Drosophila melanogaster: one gene and its partner. The protein of the gene in region 2 interacts with the protein of the main gene of each other region in a pairwise test. Each region holds a gene or a part of one and is shown on either strand. Other genes may lie near its edges.

Evidence for each region.
Region 1: the proteins of mrn (region 2) and Tfb5 interact in a two-hybrid assay, tested with the Drosophila melanogaster proteins (one study listed by BioGRID).

The regions. Positions count from the first base shown.
Region 1 is NT_033779.5:5,007,835-5,015,128, forward strand, and holds Tfb5 (transcription factor B5), read right to left. Parts: upstream 3,001-7,294; 5' UTR 2,933-3,000; coding exon 2,898-2,932; intron 2,840-2,897; coding exon 2,653-2,839; 3' UTR 2,599-2,652; coding exon of another isoform or gene 2,143-2,598; 3' UTR 2,097-2,142; downstream 1-2,096. Other genes in the region: Rtnl1 (Reticulon-like1), read right to left, coding at 347-1,541; CG31917 (uncharacterized protein), read right to left, coding at 2,143-2,598; SelT (selenoprotein T), read left to right, coding at 3,356-3,501, 3,578-4,028; vkg (viking), read right to left, coding at 4,677-5,310, 5,378-5,601, 5,663-5,777, 5,841-7,294.
Region 2 is NT_037436.4:15,576,680-15,585,120, forward strand, and holds mrn (marionette), read right to left. Parts: upstream 3,859-8,441; 5' UTR 3,828-3,858; coding exon 3,529-3,827; intron 3,474-3,528; coding exon 2,273-3,473; 3' UTR 2,090-2,272; downstream 1-2,089. Other genes in the region: Ufsp2 (UFM1 specific peptidase 2), read left to right, coding at 1-23, 83-1,867; CG12301 (uncharacterized protein), read left to right, coding at 4,211-4,615, 4,675-6,585; AIMP2 (aaRS-interacting multifunctional protein 2), read left to right, coding at 7,056-7,202, 7,318-7,416, 7,608-7,760, 7,961-8,189, 8,244-8,441.

The sequences.
Region 1 (7,294 bases), on a different chromosome or scaffold from region 2:
ATTGCGATATAAAATTCACTTAATAAGAGAGCTCCGCAAAAAACGATGACTCATGAGCAGAGTTGGAGGAAAAAAACCATACAAAAAAAAAAAAAAAATAATAATAATAAGAGAGTGGCGAATGACTAACGCACAAAACAAAATTAAATAGAAGGGGCAGCAGGCGATGGGAAAGGGCGTGGGATGCAAGGTGCGCCGCAAGGACACTGGGAACAAACATCAAAATGGTATTCAAATTACGACGGTGTACTATAATACTCGAATGACGACGGGAACACAACAAATTAATTAGAAACGCAATGATAACTGGTGTTGACTAGTTGCTATTTGCAGTGGCTAGACTCACCCAATCCGTATTTGCAGAAGATCTCCTCGACGGACGCAATCTTTGGCTGCGGCTGGGTCGATTCAACTGGCGCCACTGGCACAACCTTCGGCTTGGCCGGCTCCACCTTGGGTTTGGGTGGCTCTGGTTTCGGCTCGACTACGGGTGCGGCGATGGTGGGTGCCTTCGGCGCCTCCTGGACAGTGGGTTTGAACACCACCTCCTCGTCATCCAGGTCGGTTATCAAAGCGGTTGTCACGGGTACAGCCACTGGAACCGGCTGGGGTTTGGCAACTGGTACTGATACTGGTACTGCCACTGGAGCAGGAGCAACAGCTGGAGCAGCATCGAGAATGGGAGCTGGTGCGGGTGCTGGTGTGGGTGCTGAGCGTGGCTCCTCCTTAAAATCGCTGGCCAGATCTTCCGACGAGATGAACTTCTCGTTGTCCTGATCCTTGAGGGCATCTACAATGGGTTTCTTGGCCGGCGATGGTGTGTACGAGACGGACGGCGATTCAGTGTCGGAATCCTGGTTGGCCTTGGTCAATGGGGCGACAGGAGCTGCTGGGGCAGCAGTGGTTGGCTTGCCCAGGAAGTCATCCTCCTCGTCGTCATAGAAATTGGCCGTGGACGGTGCCGTTGGCTGGAAGGCCTGGAGTGGTGCCGATGGCTGGTCAGTGAAGCTGCCCAGGAGGTCCTCCTCGACAGGAAGCGGAGCTGGGACAGCAGGAGCTGGCGCCACTGGAGCTGGAACGGCCGGAGCATGATCGGGAACAGCTGGAGCTTGTGCTGGAATAACCGGAGCTTGAGCTACCGTCTCTGAGAATGGAGCCAGGGGAGCGGAGAAGCCCCGCTCGGCATTCATAAAGTCGGTGGTCAGTCCACTGATGCCCTGCTTCACCTCCTTGCCAGCGTCGCGCAGAAAGTCCTCGAAATCATCAGTCTTCTGTGCAAACTTGGTGTCCAAATCGAGTTTGGCATCCTTAGCGTCGGCGGCCAGGCGTTGGACAAACTCCTGCGCATCGCCAAAGTCCAACTTCTTTTGCTCGTTGGCGAAGTAGTGCTCCGTGTGGGCATTATCGTCCTGGGCACCACCACTCACATTGCCAGTATCGCCACCAAGTGCAGAGTCTTCGTAGGCACGTTGCGCCTGCTTGAAGATGTCCTCGTTGGTGGCAGCGGCCTCCTTTTTCAGTTCGTCGAAGTTCCGATCCATATTCTACAGTGTTTTGATTTCAAAATATAACACTTGTGATCAATAAGAAATTTTCACAGATGTGTTTGAATATCCTGGCCTTCTGATTGGAACTTCGCACACACACACACGTACGCACGCACACGACACACCCACACACACACGCACAGGCACCGAGCTACAGCTGATTTTGCCGGTTGAAATTAATATGATTTTTTTTAGCCGACTTAAGTGCCTTCTGGTGACTAAAAGGCCGCAATTCGCAGTGTTTTGTGCTCGGGAACGTTGAATTTAATTTGAACCACAGCGACTCTTTTACAGGCGCCGTCGATGCAGACGTTTGAAAAGTTTCAATGGACCTGCGCTAGAGGTGGCACAGCGGTCGATACTATCGATGACGCTCACAGCATAATTGCCTAAAAATGGACAAATACCTTGAACAGCCATGTTTCGAACCAAAGTTTTGATGTTGCCGGCATCTTTAGCCATGACATTAACCCAATGGCTCTGGCAAATTGGCTAAAATTCACGACAGCTAAAATTTGTTGTATGTATTTCCAGAAACTTCGCGCAATTCAGTTATGCCTAATGTTTGATTTATTTGTAAACATAACAACCATGCTCAGGCCGTCCACTTGAGGCAGCGCGTGTCCTGGTGCGTTTGCAGGCATCTAACGCAACAGTATCGCGTTCCGCAGGCGGTGCACGAGTACAACGAGAAGTTGCCGCAAACGGCGCAGAAATGCCGCAGTGGCTTTTGTGGAGCCGGCGCTGCGGCGCTCTCGTAGTTGGGCTGCTTGTCCTTGTCCTCCTCGAGCAGTTGCTGGAAGTTCTTGCGATACTTGACGAGAAAGTATTCGGCGCCCTTGCGCTTGCCTTTCTTCTCCTTGCCGGTCTTCAGGCTGTCCTGGAATTTGGGCAACTTCTTGGACATGACAAGGTCGGCGTGTGGGTCATCGTGGTAGTTGTCCTGCTCCAGAGCCTCCAAGGCTTTGCGGGCACGCCGCTGGCGGGCTGTGGAGTCCAGGACACGCTTCTTTTCAGCGTCCTTGATGCGGTTGGATTCGCGACCCGTCATGGTTGTTTTTAGGTTTTTACTTTTGGCTATTGGATTTTATGGGTTGTGTAGGTTCTAAGCGTCCTTGTCGTGCAGCGGAAAGCTTATCCGATCCATCAAGTCGTCCACTCGCGCCTGCAAAACTTCCACAATGTCCGTGGAGATAAACAAATGGTTCTCGTCCAGATCCTGGATAATGAATTTGCGTCCCAGAGCCAGTTTTTCGTCCAAGTGCAGCAGGAATTGTTTCATAGCAGGATCACTGCGGGGATTGGGTTGAATATAGCGAAACCAACGCATACCAAACGTATACCACTTACCACTCCACCAGCACTCCTTTCATAACATTTACCATGTTGCCAGCATTTGTTTGCCGAAATTAATAAACAATCTCACCAATTCTCAGAGCTGAATGACATATTCACAGTGAAACGTAGGCTAGAGGTGGCAGTCTTTACTATCGATATTTTTTTGACTTTACTTGATAATTTAATCAATAATTTCAGCATGGCAATATAATATTTACAATCAACGAAATATAACACATTGCTTTAAACCAGCACCCGATATTAACTATATTATGTTAGTTTCACCGTCGGAAGTTTCGTACTTTAAGAAATATAGCTATTTTGCCAGCCCTATCAGTGCTACTCACTACGAAAAGTAGACAGAAGTAGCGGGGTATTTGCCAGTCACACGGACAAACACCAAGGCAAAAGTGTGAGGAAATATTGAATTCCAAATTAAATTCCTAATTAAATCAGACCATAAGCACGCAATGGAAAGGCTGACCGGAAGGAATGTGGCACTACTGGTGCTGTGCCTGTGCGCCGGATACGCCCTGGTGTTCGCCGAGGGCGAGAAGGAGATACCGGTTACCAAATTCGGACAGAACATAGCGCCGACGATGACTTTCCTTTACTGGTGCGTTATATGCGGGGCAATTAACATAATTGATAACAATGACCTCTGTGTTTCTCACCATTGATTCGCCAAATAGCTACTCCTGCGGCTATCGCAAGGCGTTCGAGGACTACGTGGGCCTGCTGGGCGAGAAGTATCCGCAAATTCAGGTGAATGGCGGCAACTACGATCCGCCGGGTCTAAACTATTACCTCTCCAAGATGATATTCGCCCTGAAGATCATAATCATTGTGTCCGTGGTCAGTGCGGTCAGTCCGTTCACCTTCCTTGGCCTGAACACGCCCAGTTGGTGGAGCCACATGCAGGCTAACAAGATATACGCCTGCATGATGATCTTCTTCCTGGGCAACATGCTCGAGGCCCAGCTCATCTCGTCCGGCGCTTTCGAGATAACACTAAACGATGTGCCTGTGTGGTCGAAACTGCAGACGGGACGCTTTCCCTCGCCGGAGGTACTCTTTCAAATCATCGACAACCATCTGCAGTTCACCGAAAAGGTGCAGGAGAATCCGGACTTTGTTAAATAATAGCATTGGACTGACTGGACGGACGGAGGAGCGCGGAAAACAGCAGTTGGACAACACCAAAACAGCCGCAGACATCGATTTCCGGCTCTGAACCTAACTTAAACATAAGCTCTTGTCCCGACATTATCCACTTAGCTGTATTTCTGTTTTCACCCCAACTATAGCCTACTCTACACATCCTAAACGCATCCAATCCGAACCGAACAAAATCGCATTTGATCGGATTTAGATGGGATATAAAGTTCGCTTTAATTTCAATCAAACGAAATTTCTTGTGCATTCGTTTTATGTGTTGTACATTTTATTTATCAAAAAACTGGGCTTTCTTTTTGGTTGTGTTACGTTTACAATAATCCCAACAGGGGCACAAGATTTACTTTCGTTGCAGTGGAGGCAGTGGTTACTCTTCTCGACCCCTCTTCCATAATTCCATAATTATATTTGGTATGTGGCATATGTGTCATATGGTTTTAGTTTTTGGTGTCCACGTAATTAGATTACATCTCCACGGAAAATGGCACTGTTCTGTGGTTAAAGTTTTGTTTGTTTGGTACTCGAGTTGGGGTTTGGATCGTTATCTCGTTTCCTGGATAGGATAGCAAATTACTTAAGACGTATATTTAACTGCTACTTAGTTCGAACTGCAATCTAGGGGGCGGTGGTGTCCTCGCGTGGGCGTCGGTTGTACTGGCGGGTATTGCCACCATGGCGAGCATACTCATCGTAGGCCTGCAGGTTGCTCGGGTGAACCCTTTGCTGGTACCTTCCGTTCAGATAGTTTGATGGGCCGCGACTGCGCGTGATCCAAGAGGAGCGCGTGGACCCGGCGTTAGATTCGGGATTGGAACCAGGACTGGAGCCCGTGGACCAGCTAGAGTACGATCCCGGATTGGAGACCGATCCTGCTACGGGTCCGGAATGCCAGCTGGATCCAGCATTGGTCCTCGATTGCCAGGCGGCGTTGGAGCCAGGATAAGCTCCGGCATTGGAGCCAGGATAAGCTCCGGCATTGGAGCCAGAATAAGCTCCGGCATTGGAGCCAGGATAAGCTCCGGCATTGGATCCAGATGACCAGGATCCGGAGCTGGAACCAGGACTGGACTGAGAGCCAGGACTGGAAGACCGGCCGGATTGCCAGTTTGCCCTGTAATTGCCATCTGTTTTCAAACTGCCCGAAGGATTACTCGAGGCAGAACCATCTGTGAAACCGGAAGACGCATCTGCCCTGGACTTTGCAGTGCGAGCCACAAAGCTGTTGCCTCGACGACGGCAAACCGTGCACCTGAAAGATGATACCGCCATTGTAGATACATATGTATACAGCTAATGGGTTTGCTCAAGTAACCCACCTGCTTATCTTGCTGGTAAAATCCGCCTTTAGCGTCTGCTGGCGCGGCTGGACGAACTGATCCTGCTCCTCGATGACGGTTAACCAGAAGGAGGCCAGCGCATCGTAGTAGTTGCAGCGTCCATGGCCATGGCACTCGATCACCGGCTGGGCGCGGAACTCCTCCAAGCAAGAGCCCGGGGAGACGAGGTTCTGCCCAACGCCACCGACGTTGTCCAAGGTGCTCTGAAAGGTTGGGTAACGGTGGGTTAACCTTTAATTCCTTATGCTGAGAATAGTAACCTACCATGAAGTAACTGTAGCCGGTCCACATCTCCTCCCAGCCGCCTGGACAGTCCGGAATGGACATGGATTGCGAGTGGAGGGCGATGATCCTGGTCGTCGTTTCGCACACAACGCAACTGAGGAACAAGACATGTCAATAGTCTAAGGGATTTCTAGGGGAGGAGGAAATTGGCACTTACCGCGAAATGTACTTCATGAGGTCCCTGCCCTGGATGGGCGTCATGGTCATTGGCATGGGTTCGGCGGTGGACAGCCAGAGACTGTCATCGTTGTTCTGGGCAAAGTGGCAGACGTTGGTGATGTCGCACAGCATGTACGGCATGGTTGTAAACCGCATCATACAGGAGCCGGACTGACCGAGATCCTGACCCACCGCTCTGCTGGCGGCCACGTTGCCCGACAGTGAGTAGCCCTCCCATAGCAGATTCGTGTTGGCCGGACACTGAGGTACGTGGACGGACTGCGAGTGGCGGGCGAAGATGAATCCGCGGCTCTTGGGTGCCGGCGGTGCTGGCGCTGGTTCACCTTGTGGTCCGGGCAGACCACGCAAGCCGGGTGCTCCGGTCAAGCCCATATAACCCTTGTCACCACGTTGTCCCTGCGGTCCATCGGCTCCGGTGTAGCCCACCTCGCCCTGGTCACCGCGATATCCGACGGCACCTCTCTGTCCTTGGAATCCAATAAGTCCTGGTGCTCCACCATCGCCTTCCTCGCCCTGGAACCCATCAAGTCCGGGCTCACCACGATCTCCGGGTCGGGCCATGGAGTAGGAGTATGTTACACCTGGTTGACCCTTGGGGCCAACGAGTCCGTCCATGCCATCGATTCCACCCCAGCCGGCGTCGCCAGTGGGTCCCCGTGGTCCTGGGGCACCCACCCTTCCGTTCTTACCCGGAAGTCCGGGATATCCTTGCTCGCCCTTGGCGCCATCCCAGCCAGGTTCGCCCTGGAAGCCGATATCTCCGATGTCGCCCTGCCTGCCGACAATGGCATATCCAGATTCACCGCGCTCACCCTGGCGACCCATGTCGCCAAGCTCTCCCTTTGGTCCGATTAGTCCATGACGACCATTGTGTCCCGGTGCTCCGGGAAAGCCGACATCTCCCTGAGGTCCAGGTGGCCCCTGGATTTGGGGTCCACGGTGTCCGATCGCACCGTTGGGTCCATTCTCTCCCGGTGGTCCGGGTGCTCCCTTCTGGCCAAAGTGTCCCGGACGTCCTGCTCGTCCATCGAGTCCAGCAACGCCTTCGTCACCCTTCTCGGCGGGCAATGTTATGCCCGGAGGACCTCGTGGTCCTTGGTCACCCTGGAAGCCCTTAAGGCCTTCAGCTCCATCGAATCCAAGTTGTCCAGCATAGCCAATGTCACCGCGTTCGCCCTTGGCGCCGGGAGGTCCAATAAATCCAATTGGTCCCATATCACCCTGCTCGCCACGTTCACCCTGTAGACCTTGATCTCCGGTGAAGCCGCGATAGAAGCTCCGATCCCGCAGGTTCTCCAAGCGACCCGGAATACCGACTTCACCTTCGTCACCCTGCTCACCCTGCTCTCCCTGCTCACCAATCAATCCGCGTGGTCCTTGATCACCAATCTGACCATTTCGACCATCCAAGCCCACAACTCCGCTCTCGCC
Region 2 (8,441 bases):
AAATATCCGCATTCCTGTTGAAGGTGAGACTATAAATCGTTTATTTAACCATATATCGTTTACGCGGTTTCACCAATTTTAGCGCCTGGAGCGAACAAAGCAGCAGTGCAGTGGATGCTTGTTTGGAGTTTTCTATGGAGAAGGTACCTTACTCCTACTGAGCTTCAACATTGAGTCCAGTTTGGGACAACTGAACTACGAGCAGATCCAACACAGATTCCCGGCGGAACTGGATTTATGCGGACTGGTCAAGTTTGGTGGTTGCACCGATGGAGAGGCGCACCTTAATGAGGTCATCAAATCTGTGGATATCACCGATAATCCCATCCTACTGCAATGCGAATTGGGCACCTTGGTGGGCTTGCGGGCCTCGTTTTTCGTCCATGGAAAACTGGAGGAGGTACCCTACGAGGTTATGGAGGCACATCAGCTGTACAACGACTTCTGCTTCACCCGGCTGCAGTGCGGATTCTTTCTGCAAACGGCCGCCACACCGGAATCCGTGGCCCGGGAAATGCATGTGCTGCGCAAAAGGGTAGCCGACGGAAATCTAGTGTTTAACGTTCCGCAGACAAAGATTTTCATTAATAACTACGGGCCACTGGACAAACAGTTTAGCGGCGATTCCCAAATTCAGGATCTTATAGACGTCATTCCAACTCCAGGACATGAAAAGGAGACTGCCAGTGTCGACAAAAAGAAGCTTAAAGGTCAGAACACGCCAGTCAAGAGACTGGCTCCGACTGGCTGCGACTACGAGGTGATCCCCATCGATGTGATGCGCTCGCGCAGTCGTGATCCCGTGTCCGGAGAGCCACCTCATCCGGCACTCAGCATTGCTGTGACCAATGAGGAACAGATCCGAGTCCAGGTACCATTAGAGATCGAAGCCATGGCCATTCTCTGCCGCAAAACGAAGCTCCAACGGCTATACGACGTACTCATCGAGAGCATCTGCAGAGGTCTCAGATTGTTCGAACTGAGCCTGATTGAGCATCTCACGGAGTCGGGAAGTGGAAAGCTGCTGGTGCCCGCTAGCTATCACTTCTACCCACAAGAGTTTGGTCACTTCGTGAGCTGCGCCTATCTGGAAGGTCTGAGTGACGATACACCAAGCATGCTAATGAGACGCAAGCGCCTGCATCGACAGTTTGCTTTGCCCATCAGTCGTCCTTATTTCCGCAGGGCCAACCAGATGCTTTTCCTAGGTGAAACGGAGGACGCACCATGGACTCCGCTGCTAAATACCCACATCGGATTACGTCCCAGTGGAGTTGTCGACGGCAAAGAGTACTTAGTAAATGGTAACTACCATTACTATCATTACCTGCAACAGCAGGTGCAGGACAAGGGATGGGGATGCGCATATCGCTCGCTGCAGACGATCTGCTCCTGGTTTGTGCTGCAGGGTTATACGAACGCACCGATTCCGACGCATCTGGAGGTGCAGGAATACCTTCACAAGATCAACGACAAACCTGCTGCATTCGTGGGTTCTTCTCAGTGGATTGGTTCCACAGAAATCAGCATGTGTCTGCAGGGATTCCTTAACGTGGACTCAAAAATTCTGCACGTAGCCTCTGGAGCTGAGCTGGCGACTATTGCCTCCGAGCTGGCGATGCATTTCCAAACGCAAGGTACACCGGTAATGATTGGTGGCGGTGTTCTGGCCCACACCATTATCGGGGTGGACTACTGCGTGCAGACGGGTCAGGTGAAGTTCCTCATCTTGGATCCCCATTATACAGGTGCCGATGATTTGGCCACCATTCAAATTAAAGGTTGGTGCGGCTGGAAGGGCATGGACTTTTGGGCCAAGGGCAGCTACTACAATCTCTGCATGCCCCAGCGTCCCATTTTGTATTAGGTTGAGCTAGTTTCTTTTCCACTCGCATTTAGGTAGGCGAGGATGTTTCGATATGCTTTCTTTAGGTATAACGTATAGGACATTCTAAATTTTCTATTTTATTGGGTAAATAAAATTATTTTGTATGCATTTGTTAGTTGTCTCTTCACTGTTTTTTACGTTTAGCAATATTACATGTCGACCCATCCTAAAGGACAATCTAGGAAAAGCTTTGGTGGTTTTCTGTTTTTATGTGTATGATACTTGTGTATTTTAATTTTATTCCACTTGTATGTTGAATGTCGATGATAAATGTGTAATCCCACACTCCCTTATTAAACCATATTTTAAAATTTTAGCTTGTAACAAAATGGGCACAGATGTTACTTCTAAAATAACTTCCCAATAATTGGTCGTAATACCGGGCTAAACACCACTCTTAGAGTACTTCTTCCAGTAACGCTTGACATCGTCGTGGCCATTCTTTTGCACCACCATTGTGCGAGTTCGCTCATTTTGCCACACCAGCATGTGGATCGACTGGGCGTAGTCTCGTAGCGTTACGAAATCTGTATGCGAGAGGAACTGATTGTACAGCACGCCTTCGGTGTAGGTGAAGCGATTTCGCTCTAATTCCCACAGCTTAATTTGATCAACGACTGTGGGTGGCAGGCAGGATTTAGAGTGAATGGCTGACTCGACCATGCGCATATTGGGATGCGCATACTGCTCCAGATACGAGACAATCTGCTCTGCCGTGATACCGCCACGCAACGCCTGGCGCACTGAATCGCGGGTTAGCACGCCCACGACGAGATTGGGAAAGCGGTAGAGAAGCTCCGTGAACAGACCTAACACGGCTACCTGGAGCGGAGAATCAGTGTAGGCATACACTCGGTAGTTCGTCTCCACCACAATGTAGCCACAGTCCTGAGTGGCCTCCTCATCCATGGCCACAGATGCAGTCGCAGCCGCCTCCTTGCTTGTCACATTCAGAGCCAAACGTGTGGGATAGAAGCGTCCCTCCTTACGCTTACGTTGGAAGACCAGTCCAAACTCCCGTAGATGCTGCAGGAATGTCAGCATCTGACTGTTCATGCCCTCGGAACTGTAATCCCTGCCCAGCGTTGAAAAACTGAGCTGGAACAACATGGACAAGCATTCCGGCAGGCTGATTCCTCTTTCTTCGCACGTGTCCAGGTACTGTAGCATAAAATGCCACACCTGAGCTCGCGTGTCCAGCAGCAGGAACTGAAAGCCCTGCCGGGTTATTGTGATACCGTCTCGTTCATCACGTTTCATGAGATTGGCGTGCAGCAGAATCCGAACGGCGTCCGGACTAATGGCCTCCGCATCGGTGCCATTGCGATTTCCGGTGCCGACCATGTAGTGCAACACGCAACGCCAGCGGGACATGGCGTATGTATCCAGAAAAGCAATGTCCCTGGGCTTCGAGTCCTTATCCAGCGTGTTGGTCATAGGCCAAGGTTTTCCGCCGCCCAGCAGCACCTGGCGTACGCTTTTCTTGAAGGTGGGCGAGAGCTCCCACGCAGAAAGGCCACCCGGAATGGCTGTGACCCGCCAGACGTTCAAAGCCGTCAGGCAGCTGGTTGCCTCGGCTTGCTCCCTGCAAAAGTAATGCATTGCAATGATATTGTTTATCCAATTGGATACAGTCATACTTGGCACAACGTTGGGCACCCCATGATGTGACCACCGCTTGTGGCACAGGCTGATCCACGAACAGTATCCTTATGATAAACTGCCGGGCTATCTCTGGAAGCTCCCGAAAAACGGCCAAACAAATGGGCGGATAGTTGTACAGCTTCTCCAGCGACTCTGGCGTTTGGCGGGTGCGCAGATACTCCTGAAAGTCCTTACACTCCAAGTTCGCAGGACCCTGCCCCAAGGGCGACAGGACGGCGTTTCCACTTCCCCCGGCAGCCGAATGCCGACCACTACCGGATTTCGTGTCGGCCATGACGATTCGAATGTCGAATTCGTAAACAAAATATTTTCATCCCGTTGTCATCGATAGCCGGTCTTTCGTGGGGGGACAATCGATAGTAATCATCAAGGGCGTTACGAAGGGGGTTTTCGCTGAGTTAAAAGTACATTTATTGTTAAAAAAAAATCAATTGATTTTTGATGCATAGATATATGTATTGAGTAGTAAATGTTATTATATTTAAGTTAATTTTTAAAAGAAGGCAGCTCCATTTTCCACACTCATGCTATCGAGCACAGGTAGAAATTGTGATGGGCCGCAAAACTTATCGATAACTCTTCAGCTGTTATTCTGCACACGTGCTGCGCGAAGTATTTTTGTATTGTTATTTGATTTTAAATATTTTCCTGACAAAAATGAGTGACGACGAGGAGCACTACGAACCAAAGGCACACAAGAAGCTGCTGCAGGCCATCGGCAGTCTGGGCAAGGTGCAGCACATCCAGAAGTCCACGCGCGACGAGCGGCAGTCGCTCCAGGATGAGTTCCAGCTGGTAAAAGGTGTTTCGTCAGCGGAAACGGATCATGCCCCCAGAGCCGTGGGTCTGAACGATCTGGTAGACATCCTACGCACCTCCACCAAGCACAGTCAGACGGGCAAGAAGCTCAAGAACATCCATGGCAGCAAAAAGGTGCTACAGAAGCCGCTGGAGAAACCAGCTGCGGATCGAATTAAACGGACCATTGGCTACGAGGGAGTTACCAAGAAACTCGGTCGTTGGGATGCTGTGGTGGCTCAACAGAGATCTGCGGAGACGCAGGTGAATGAATGCCAATGCTAACAGTGACATACACATATAATCTCCAAAACTTATTACAGATCTTCCCCCTACCATCTGAAACGGTTTACGTAAATACTGCGGCAAATGCCAGGCCTCTAAACACCCGGGTCAAGTCCAATCTTGCTCAAGAACTCGAGGCTAACAACCGTAAACTACGGGAACTGCGCAAAGCGCAAATTGGGGATACCACGGATGAAAAGGAGCTGGCCAAGCAAGAGCGGCTTTTACTACAAAAGAAGCTTACCAGGGACGAACTATTTGCCCGTCGCAAGGAGCTAGCTTACCTGAAGATGCGCGAGTCTCAAAAGTCAGCAAAGGCGCGCATGCAAAACAAAATCAAATCGAAAAAGTTCCACAAGCTGCAGAAGAGACAAAAAATGTTGGAGCAGATGAAGGAGTTCGAGTTGCTGCAGAAAACCGATCCAGAGGCGGCGCTGGAAAAGCTTAATGCCCTGGAAAAGAGTCGAGTGCAGGAGCGTGCCAGCCTGCGGCACAAGAACACCGGTACTTGGGCGAAGAATCTGCAGATACGGGCCAAGTACGACAAGGATGTGCGAAAGGATCTGGCCGAGCAGTTGGCTGTTAGCAGGGAACTGACCCAGAAAAAGCAGGTGTCAGACAGCGAAGATGAAACCACCAAGAAGAGAGTTTTACCCGAGGAGGAGGATAATGACTACGATCCCTTTAATCCTTGGACAAAAAGAAAAGCTACAGAGCAAACGGAAAATGGAAATGGTGAAAGTGAGGGTTCCAATTGGCGGCAATATTGGACAAAAAGGAATAAAAACGAAAAGTTACTGGAGGAGCATCGTAGGGATTTGGAAGGAGTCCAGGATAATGACGAGCAGGAGGAGAAAGAAACTATTCGGAAACCATTAATAGAAGTAAAACCTGCTAAGAAGAAACTTAAGAAATCGAAAGTTAAGATAGAAAATGGCTGGGAGGTGGAAGATATTTGCCCAACTGATCAGAAAGAAGCCAAGGCAAGCCCGAATTCAAAAGCCATTGATGACATTTTTGAGAAACACGAGGATCATATCAGAGCCAAACTAAATAAGAAAATGGAGAAATTGAGGGAACGGATAAACAAACTTAAAGAAGTTCCTGTCAAGGGAAAGAAGGCGAAAAAGAAGGACGTCTTGCAAAACCTAAAAAGTCTGGCTTTAAAAAAGACAAAGCAACAGATAGAGATTGACGAGCCCCTTAACTACGAGGAGGATAAAAATTCACAGAATAATATCCCTGCCCACGTTGAAGGTAACACAGAAAGCACGGAAATTCCAGCTGTGGATACCATAGATCCCAACAAGGTGACAACTTTGGTGTTTACCCAAAAGAAGGGCAACTCGGGAGGCTTTAACGATGCTCTAATAGACGATGAAGCAGCTGAATACGACGAGGAAGACGCCGCTGCTGAACGCCAGTTGACAATCAGTCAAGCCTTCGAGGATGATGACATTGTAGCTGATTTTAATCGGGACAAAAGCAAGGACTCCGAGCTTAAGAACACTGAGCTTCAGCTCGCCCTGCCTGGATGGGGTTCCTGGGCGGGTGCTGGCATTTCGAAGGAGGTAATGGAGCGACGAAACAAGCGGCTTCTTCTTAAGTTGGCTGCTCCGGAAAAGCGTCGTGACGAGAATAAGGATAATCTTTACCTCAACGAGTCCGCCAGCAAGCAGGCGCGCCAGCACATGGTCTCCAGCATACCATTTCCTTTCCGATCCCTGGCAGACTACGAAGCCAGTATCCGTGCTCCAGTTGGCCGGAACTTTGTGCCGGAGACGGCGTTCCGCATGCTGACCCGTCCGGCAGTAATCACGCGCAAGGGCCAGGTAATCGAGCCCATGACAGAGAGCGAGCTGGTCAAGCCGGACAGGCGTCTACGCCACATCGTGGACAGGAGGATAAAGCGCATACCGAAAGTGCCACCCAAGGCCAAGATAGCATAGAACTAGGAATATTTTTAAAAATAAATCTGAATAATATGAACGATTGCCAGTCTCCTAATTTACTTAGCTATAGAAAGGGAAATTATTATATAAATTGCATTATTTTCTCAAATTGTTTTTTATTTTTGTTAATAACTGAGACATTTCTATAAAAAAAACTTGAATTAAAAAGAGTTAAACAATGTTTTGTTTGATTTTCGTTAAAGGTATAACGACACAACAGTAGTTGACCAAGCAGAATATTCTGGATGAAGTATAAAATGTATAAAAACTACATTTTAAATTTGAATTCAATAGCTTTCATTACCGCACGCAATGTGACCAGATTAATGGTGTTAAGTGGAACGATAGCGATAGCGTTGCCTTAAATTATTTGGTATTTTGTAAAGTTTCTCACAGACGGCAAGCACATTTTGGAATTGATAATTTGCGCAGGTTATTGTGTTTATCCAACGATTCTCGCCGCGAAAATGTACGAACTGAAGACTCTGCTGCCGCAATTCGACATAAAGCTGCCCACCTGCATGTATCCTCTCAAGAACGTTAGCCTGGCGGCGGATTCCTTGGCCAGCGGCTCCTCCACATCCGCATCCACATCCGCGTCCACATCATCATGCGTAAGTTTATTTGCCGGGCCAGTGAGAAGTTGGTCGGGTCGCAAGGACAGTGAAAGTGCAACGTATGTCTACAACGCCACATCCATTCCATTCCCGCATGTGTGATCCTTGCCAGAAATTGGAGGCCAACAGGATCGACAGAACGGGACGAAACGCAGCCACATGTGCACTTGATTTGGACTCTTTAGGCCGACAAATACAGCGACTGCTAAAGGTTAAGACCACCAAACTAAAATACGAAATTCTATTTATAAACCACCGACTAACAAAAAAAAAAAAAGAACAATACGCCAGTACCAGAAATATTTATAATGCATCCATGCTTCGTTTTGTGTGTTCTTGTGGCCTTGGCTAACGTTATATGTCGTTCCCTAACACATCCTCTTTCCCTGCTTTTACTTTCAGGACGATACGGCATCAGTGGCCGCCCGACAGGAGAAGGTTCTCAAGCAGCTGGAGGAGCTGAAGGCGCAGCTGGGACAAATCCGGGCGGGACTTGGTGTTTGTGGCAAGACTTTCCAGCACACGACTGCTTTCCAGAATGGTGGATTAAAGGAGGTACGACTATCAATATGTCAAGGTCAAGACTAGGAGTTCAAAGGTTAAATAAGAAATAATTAAATAATAATCAAAGTAAACAATATTTAGAAGCTTATGCAATAGGATTTAATTATGTGTAACATAGCTTTGAAAAGTCTTAGCTTAAAAGAGAGTTCCATCACCTTTATTTAATAATATTTCCAATAAATCAAAACCAGGTGCCACTGCAGGATGTCGTCATCAATGGACATCCCAACTTCATACCCTATGCCTTGTTGGCCCTGAAAAATGCCTGGCGCAATCTGTACACTATTGATGTCAAGACCTTTACGCACTCTACGATGGCCGACATTGGACCAGCAGCACGGGAATTCGAGGCCAACTTGGCGAAGGTTCCAGTAAACCCTGCTTTGCCCAAGATTAGTGTGACGCTCATCTGGAAGAACTGTAAGTATAACACATCTACAAAGTACAAAATACTGTTTATTCGATGCCTTCCAGGCGAACACACCGAGATGATCAGCTCGCCCACCATGTACGTGCCCATCTACGGAGAGGTGAACATCATTCGCTATCTGGGCCGTGTGGGTCCAGCCGAGTATCGTTATGAGGGCTCTCCGCTCTGCAATGAGATCGACCTTGTCCTGGACATTTGCTACCAACTGCTGCGCTGCAACACGCACAAAACGCAGGTGGCCA